Oryzias latipes: one gene and its partner. Each later gene encodes a partner of the first gene's protein in a complex. Links are inferred from orthologs where the notes say so. Each region holds a gene or a part of one and is shown in the gene's direction. Other genes may lie near its edges.

Region 1 (3,750 bases):
CAAGCCACAAATGCTGACTCAAAATGCTTGACCATTGAGTGATGCTAAAAAATTTGAAAAGTTGGCCTTCTTAGCTGAAGTTGGAGGAACACAGTGTGCTCTTACTGTTGACTTTTGTCACAGCTTTTGTGTGAAATCCTGGCGAGAGTCACGGGGTCCGGGCTGAAGGGTTCTGAAATGACTGTGTGCTTTTTAGCTCGCTCCATGCCCTCAATTTGAGGAGCTATAAAAAATAATTGAGATTTTTAGGTCACGTCTACAACCTGTACTTTTAAATGATTGACCTACTCTTTACCTGCACTGGGTGAGGGTCCTGAGAGGCAAACAGTGGTCCTGTAACGGTCCAGTTCTTCCTGTAGCCTTCGAATGAGTTCATCCTTTGTATCCAGTTCAAGCTCCAACTCATCTATGAGTGTGTCTCTCTGGCGGAGCTCCTCGATTTTTAGTTGCAGAGCAAACTGGAGGTCCCTCAGTGTACCCATGATCTGCAGGCATCAGCCAGGAAAGCACAAAGATAAACAGCTCGTTGCTATGAGAATAAAAAAGAAATTGTAATTTTTTATTTCACAAACTTAAATATGAAAAATATTATGCATATCTATCTATGTCAAAATGCTGCCTTGCAATTGTAGCACACATTTCCATCCAGGTTAAAGGCAAAAACAATTCATTGTCAAGTGCATCATAAGTTTATCCCACTAAAAAGAATACATTTTCAGAGTAAACAAATTATACTTTTTTTTATTATGTACGTTTTATGTGAAGCTGCAAGGTTTTATGTAGGCTATATAAAAATTGTCAAAAGAGAAAAAAACAATAACAAAGATAAATTGTCTTTATCATCTTAAATTTAATTACACTCAGCCACAGATCCATTGTTTTTTCAACACCTAATTGATGGATGGTACACAAATGCTACTCACCGGTGTAGGTGAGCAGTCCGCCTGGCGTCCTCAAGTGAAGGATGCTGGTCAGGAGGAATGCCCACAGCGCAGACAGGCGGTCACGTGACGCGGGCTCCCTCCAACCACGAGGAGGGGGAACAGAATGACACATGCACAGGCTGGATCCGAACTGGGTCAGAGGAAAGTAGTTCTAATGGGAAAATTTGACACTAAATTTTGCTTTCGGAAAGAAAAAAGAACGAGCATCTGCCCGACTTTGGACATTAAAAAAATGTCAATGCTGTAAACGCATTTTTTGTGAAAATCTTTTTGTGTATTGAACATAAGCAATAGAAGGTGGTCAGGTAATTATGGGTAAATTGTAACAGTAATCTACAGGTGAGTCGGATCCAATTTTCTTTTCAAATTGACAAACACGTTACTATTCAAATGTAATGTAATGACAAAAGTTTATCACCATGTTTTTTGTCTGTCAAAGGAAAAAAAACACCCATGTGTGTACAGGTGTATTGGCACAGTATCCTGCTTAGGAGATCAATTTGGATATCATCGCCTAACCACTTTAGTTCCGATAAACTTTTAATTGAACTTTAATCGTGGTGTCATTTCTTCTTAGCTGCGGTACATCCTTCATGCCAGTAGGCGGCAGCAGCATTACTTGATGTCAGCAACAGAGGCAGTGGCATCGTTGAGAGGAAACAGGAGAAGAAGATGGGACGCTGACGGGACCACAGCCAGTGTGGCTATAACGAGCAAACTTAGTAACCCTTTTGGCTGGACTTTAATCACATTATTGTGTGTTTTTGTTTTTAGTGAGAGTGTTGAAAAATGATTCTTACAGTAAAGCCACTTCAAGGGAAGGAGTGCAGTGTTCAGGTTAGTTAAAAAATCGAACTCCATAATGCTAATTTGCACAATCAGCTAGCCGGGTATATCTGTTAGCCGCTCAGCATCATAAGTTTTTTAAAGTGCTTTGAATAAAGTGAACATAAATTTAATTTATTAGTGACTGTAACTCTAACACTAACCAGTACTAAAGATGCGGTTGTACATATACACACCCGTTTATAGTTCTAAAGCAGCTTTACCGCAGCTAGCATGTTAGCTAATTTAGAAATGCAAGACGAAGAACTCTTTCTGTCTGAATCATTCTCGCTGAGGTCACGCCCAGCAGCTGAGTGGAAGTTGTTGTTACTCCTTACTTGGTGCTAATGCAGTAAAGAGAAGTGAGTAAGGAACCGCGGTGTATTAGAGGACTTTGTTTGGTCAGCGCGTTGAAACAAAAAACGGTGTTGGTATTATTTTACAGTTCAGCAGTTATATTTGCTGCTCCTGGATGTGCCTTTGTGTCAAATCAGTTAAGACATACAGTTGCATGAAAGCAGCATTATGAACCTGCTTCTCTTATCACAAATTTAGAATTGTATATATTTTTCATTTACATAAAGTAATCATTTTAAAACTCCACAGCACTTCATTAACTTTTTTAATTATGTAGTTATATATTCTATTTATAATTTTTTTTAACCAAAACATTTTTTTGGTTTTGTGTTGTTCTTATTTTGAGTACCGTAGTACTTATGATCATGTTTTTTTTCTTTAATGCCAACTTTAAAGTGTAGCGGTAATTACACATTATACATTATATATGGCTGTTCTTCAGATTAAGTCAAACATGTGCACTTAAAATTGGTCATACAAAGCCATTTAAGACATCTATTGAATTAGATTTTAAGCCGAGAATTTTATCCCAGACAAGACAGTGAGTTTTCGGCACATTTCGAAAAAAATACGAAGGCTTTGAATAAACAATATATTTGTAATTGTTTTGAATTATTGTAACAAATGTTTTTGTCTTGAGCTGATAAAACGTTTTCACAATAGGTACTTTGTTACTTTATTACATAAAATGAATTATTTATTTTGCCCGTTTAATACTGTTTTTATGTATTCATTTTTTTTATTATTGCATCCTTAGAACTTGTTTTCCCCGCAGTCTTTCTATACCAGTTGACTCTATTGTTCTTGTTTAAATTACAGTTTAAGAATTTGTTTTTATCCCACAGGTGACAGAAGATGAAAAGGTTTCCACAGTGAAGGAACTTGTTTCTGAGCAACTCAACATACCAGCAAACCAGCAGCGGCTGCTTTACAAAGGAAAGGCACTGGCAGGTAAAATTTGCCTACTACTTTTTTTTCTTTCCTTTATACTTTTGTCAGGTTCATAATTTATCTTTCTGTATGCCCTTTTTTCTTTCAGATGAACACAGACTTAGTGATTATTCCATTGGACCAGAGGCTAAATTGAACCTAGTAATCCGTCCTGCAGGAGAAAGATCTGCAGCCTCAGCAGTGACTGGCTGCAGCAGCAGGAACATGGGAGGACTGTGGCAGACTGTGTCCACTATACTTGCTAGACACTTCAGTCCAGCAGATGCAGCAAAAGTTCATGAACAGCTTATAAAGGTAAGATAAGTTTTTATTCATGGTTTCCCAAAAGTTGTAATGGTTAAAGTTCTGTTACTGCCTTTCAAACCCACTATATAAATTATATTACAAAACGAATGTCTATTTTAACTATTTAAAATAATTTGTCATGTTGTGAGCTTGACAGTTAAGCTCCTCTTTGTTATTACTAAACTTTGTTTTTGTTTGTTTTTAGGACTATGAACGTTCACTTCGACAGCTCAGCCTGGATGACATTGAACGACTAGCAGTGCGATTGCTTCACCCTGACAGCGAGAGCATGGACACCTCCTACATGGACTAGCATTGGAAAACCTAAATCTACTTTGTATGAATAGATTTAGGAGAAACTACATGTTTGGGAAAATAAATGTGAGGC
Region 2 (3,750 bases), on another chromosome or scaffold:
GTGTATTAAGTTTTATTATGAACATAAATTATAGTGCAGATGCACCAGAGATTAATTGAGGTTCCCTTCTCATTGTAAAGTCAAATTTTAAACGTTTTACTGCTACATGGAGGTCTTATAAAGACGAAATGATTTGGTTTTTAGTGTTTTTGAAGTAACCATTCACATTATTATTGAATAAAAGTAAAGGGGAAAAAAGGATTAGATGAATTATGGGGACAAATAAATTATTTCGATGCATTTAAAAGTTTTTTGTTTATATAGTGTGTGGCAACATATTTTAATTCTTAAGGATAGAGTTTAAACTGGAACTTTGTTTTGGATGTGAAACTTAGCAAATGTCAGTTTTAAGAGAAAAACACTCTTTTTTCGCTGTCTTCGATAAAATTTTGATTTGAAATATATTTCTTTAAACGTGTTAAATGATTGTAAGCAAATATGAAATTATATAACAAGAAACACAGAAATAATTAAAAATACTCTAACTTCGCATATCGCTACGGCAAGCAACGAGGGGCAGATTACCCCGCCTTCTGTGGAGCGGCTGCTGCGGAGAAGGATCGACCATGTCGGATCCGGAGTCTCTGAGGTGCTCCAGCGTTAGAAACCGCGGAGGCGTCCAGAGGGTGGAAGGAAAGCTGCGAGCCAGCGTGGAAAGAGGAGATTACTATGAAGCGCATCAAATGTACAGAACTTTATTTTTTAGGTGAGACTTTTCTTTTTAAAACGGCAGTTGTAATTTAGATTCGAGGCCTGTCGGTTCCAGATCATTCGGCTGTCAACCCTGCTTTCAGGAATGCTTATGATTGGTTACGCCACACCAGGGCCCCGCCTTTCTCTGTAGTTCCCCGTATGTGATTGGTCGACGGTCCTGTCAGTCTAACTGTTAGCTAGCGAGGTTCCGAACAGCGCCGCTAGTATTTAGCTCATGACAGAAGATTTTTTGACTAATTTAAGGCAAAAACGCAGTTTAATTTGATTATCTTTTGAGAAATATTAATTGTTTTAAAATTACATTTAAAGCAGCAGCTGCTTTGTTGTAGCAGGATGGTAATTATTTATAAAAGGTTTGCTAAAGCTAGCCAGCTGTGTTAGCATGTTGCTGTAGCACATTTCGTGCTTCTTCACCGGGTTAAAAAAATAAAGCTGTGGTTATTATTTTCGGGTTTGGAACTGTTCCTGTTTGTATCGTCTATTCTATTTAATTTTTTAAAATTGTTTTTAAATGTAAAGTATTAGTGGGGCTGGTTCCGCTTCCCCTGGTAAACAGCCGGCTGTCAATCAGTTTGTCTCAGATTGTGATCTTGAAAGTTTTTGAGTCCTTGGGAAAGACACGCAGCCAGAGTGTCCTGATCTTTATAACTGTAAGTTCGGTTGGATAAAAGTGTTTCCTCAATGTCATCTCTGATAAATTTGTAACTAAAGGCTCTTAAATGCGATTATAAGTTCCCCAGTTTGGTTGTTTATGGTTTATCTTAATTGTAAACAAGCTAACCTTCCTCCTATGTTGCTGTGAAGTTTCATAACTTCTCTGTCCTGCTGATTCTCTTCACTCTGAGCTGACAGGAAGGTTAAAAAAGGTCGCTATACATTCAAACTAAAACCAAACCAACCCTTCATATGTCGTCCCTTCCCTCTCTGATCAGGTACATGTCTCAGGCTAAACATGCTGAGGCGCGGGAGCTGATGTACCGCGGCGCTCTGCTCTTCTTCAGCCACAACCAGGTAAACCGCATTCACTTCTGCCCCGCTTTACATTTCTATTATCTCAGGGAACGCCAGTTCACAGGTTGGTGGGTAACGAACACCCCGCTTACAAAGACATTTGTGTCACTGACAGTTTTATTTTGATACTAAAATCTAGTTTGTGGCGTTTTCTTCTTAGCAAAACAGTGCAGCAGATCTGTCCATGTTGGTGCTGGAGGTTTTGGAGAAGTCAGACGCAAAAGTTGAGGACGAAATATTAGGTAGGTAGAGACCAAAACCGGACCACATAATCAACAAAGAACTCTTGATTTTGACTGTGGATCTTGTGTTGGACCAGAACATTTAGCTAAGCTGTTCAGCCTGATGGACCAGAACTCTCCGGAGAGAGCGGCGTTTGTGTCCAGGGCCTTGAAGTGGTCCACTGGAGGCTCCAGCAAGTTGGGCCATCCCAAGCTGCACCAGCTGCTGGCTCTCACCTTATGGAAAGGTAAGCTGTGGTTCTGTGGTTGTTTGTGAAGAAACTTCACCTGACGGAGCTTTGACACGTCGGAGCTCAGCTGGATTTGTGGAAACGAGTCCGAAAACCTCAGGGGTGGAACCGTTTCTGAGAAAGTCGTGCTGCGACTCATCAGGAAGGCCTGGGGCGACGCCGACTGTTCTCAGTTTGTTTCCACCCGACAGAGCAAAAGGTTCAAAACGAAAAGCTTGTAACAACATCTGTGTTTGTGGAAATACTTAATAGTCTCAGTTGAAGGTTGTTATGATAATCATTGTATAAAGTTTCAGGTGAAGATTTTCACATAATCATTTATAAACCCCTCTGGGTCCAGACGGGCCTCACAGTCAGCCTCAGAACTGGACTCACCTGGAGGGTTCTGTCACATTTCTGATGCCCCCCCCCCCCCCCCACAGGGCATTTCTGCCATTTAACAGTTATTACTGAAATGTAAAAAGAACTCAAAAACATAGTTTATTTTCAGTGGGAGACGGCCCCCCCACTAAGGTCCTTTAAAGACCCGCTCTGACGAAAAGGGTGTTGGAGGACGTGTATGAAGGAAATGGGACCTAAAATTGCCTTTCTGAGTCTTTCTTTATCCAGATCAGTGTGAATCAGGAGCAGGCATAAAGATGCTGTTTGAAACAGATTGTATTTGTGATGTACCTTAATACCCAGGGCGGGGCCACAAACTGCCTTCTCAGCTTAAACAGAGAGCTCTCAGCAAGGAGAAGGGAAAGGGGGGTGGGGTTGCTCTGTACCGACAGTCCTGACCACAACTCAGAGGTGAATTTCTGACGCTCTGCAGAAATTATGTCCTAGAAAACGACACTGGGTTTTGGATTTAGGCTAAAAACGGCGTCGTCATGGTGACAGTCCCTCTGGAAACGCTTTGAAAATGGATCCAAAGAGGATCAGAGCTGGACTTGAACTGGCTTCAGTCTGAGGATCGTATCTGTAAATGATCTGAGGGCTTCTTCACATGAAAGCTCAAGCATTCGTCAGCTTCTGGATCATGGACTCCTCCTGACTTTTCAGAACAAAACTACAGCGAGTCCCGTTATCACTTCCTGCATTCGTCTGACGGGGAGGGCTGTGCTCAGATGCTGGTGGAGTACTCGGCGTCCCGGGGATACCGCAACGAGGTGGACTTGTTTGTGGCGCAGGCCGTCCTACAGTGAGTGAACGCAGACGGATCCATTTGAATGAAACATTCTCACTTGATCTTCTGGAATCAACTGCAGACTTTTGATTGGAGGATTATGCTCCTTTATACATTTACATTGGAAGACTTCATGCGAAATAAAGAAAAAAACAAAATATTTTCTTTATTATCAGCTGATAGTTTAAAAAAAACAAATTCTCTTTCAGTTCTGCTAATTTTGCTCCAAAGGATCTGGATGTGAACGTCACACAATAAATCCTGATTTAACGGAGTATTTGAACGCATCACGCTGACGGCGTTTGTCAGGAAATGCTTGTGAACGTTCAGATCTGCCTTTGTTCTTTATTCTGAGCCCCTCTTCCCTTTTCTTCGTCTGCAGGTT

The links. Proteins that work in one complex are often made in the same cells at the same time.
Region 2: ubl4a (region 1) and get4 share a complex: the UniProt entries of both Homo sapiens proteins name them as parts of the BAG6/BAT3 complex. The link is inferred for Oryzias latipes from reciprocal best matches to the Homo sapiens genes UBL4A and GET4.

Annotation. Positions count from the first base shown.
Region 1 is NC_019867.2:16,994,843-16,998,592, forward strand, and holds the start of ubl4a (ubiquitin-like protein 4A), read left to right. Parts: upstream 1-1,585; 5' UTR 1,586-1,733; coding exon 1,734-1,781; intron 1,782-2,971; coding exon 2,972-3,077; intron 3,078-3,165; coding exon 3,166-3,371; intron 3,372-3,567; coding exon 3,568-3,675; 3' UTR 3,676-3,750. Other genes in the region: cGMP-dependent protein kinase 1-like, read right to left, coding at 106-223, 296-482. UniProt on the Homo sapiens protein: As part of a cytosolic protein quality control complex, the BAG6/BAT3 complex, maintains misfolded and hydrophobic patches-containing proteins in a soluble state and participates in their proper delivery to the endoplasmic reticulum or alternatively can promote their sorting to the proteasome where they undergo degradation.
Region 2 is NC_019877.2:1,619,925-1,623,674, forward strand, and holds the start of get4 (Golgi to ER traffic protein 4 homolog), read left to right. Parts: upstream 1-881; 5' UTR 882-1,364; intron 1,365-1,646; coding exon of another isoform or gene 1,647-1,650; coding exon 1,651-1,725; intron 1,726-1,885; coding exon 1,886-1,967; intron 1,968-2,044; coding exon 2,045-2,194; intron 2,195-3,241; coding exon 3,242-3,380; intron 3,381-3,747; coding exon 3,748-3,750. UniProt on the Homo sapiens protein: As part of a cytosolic protein quality control complex, the BAG6/BAT3 complex, maintains misfolded and hydrophobic patches-containing proteins in a soluble state and participates in their proper delivery to the endoplasmic reticulum or alternatively can promote their sorting to the proteasome where they undergo degradation.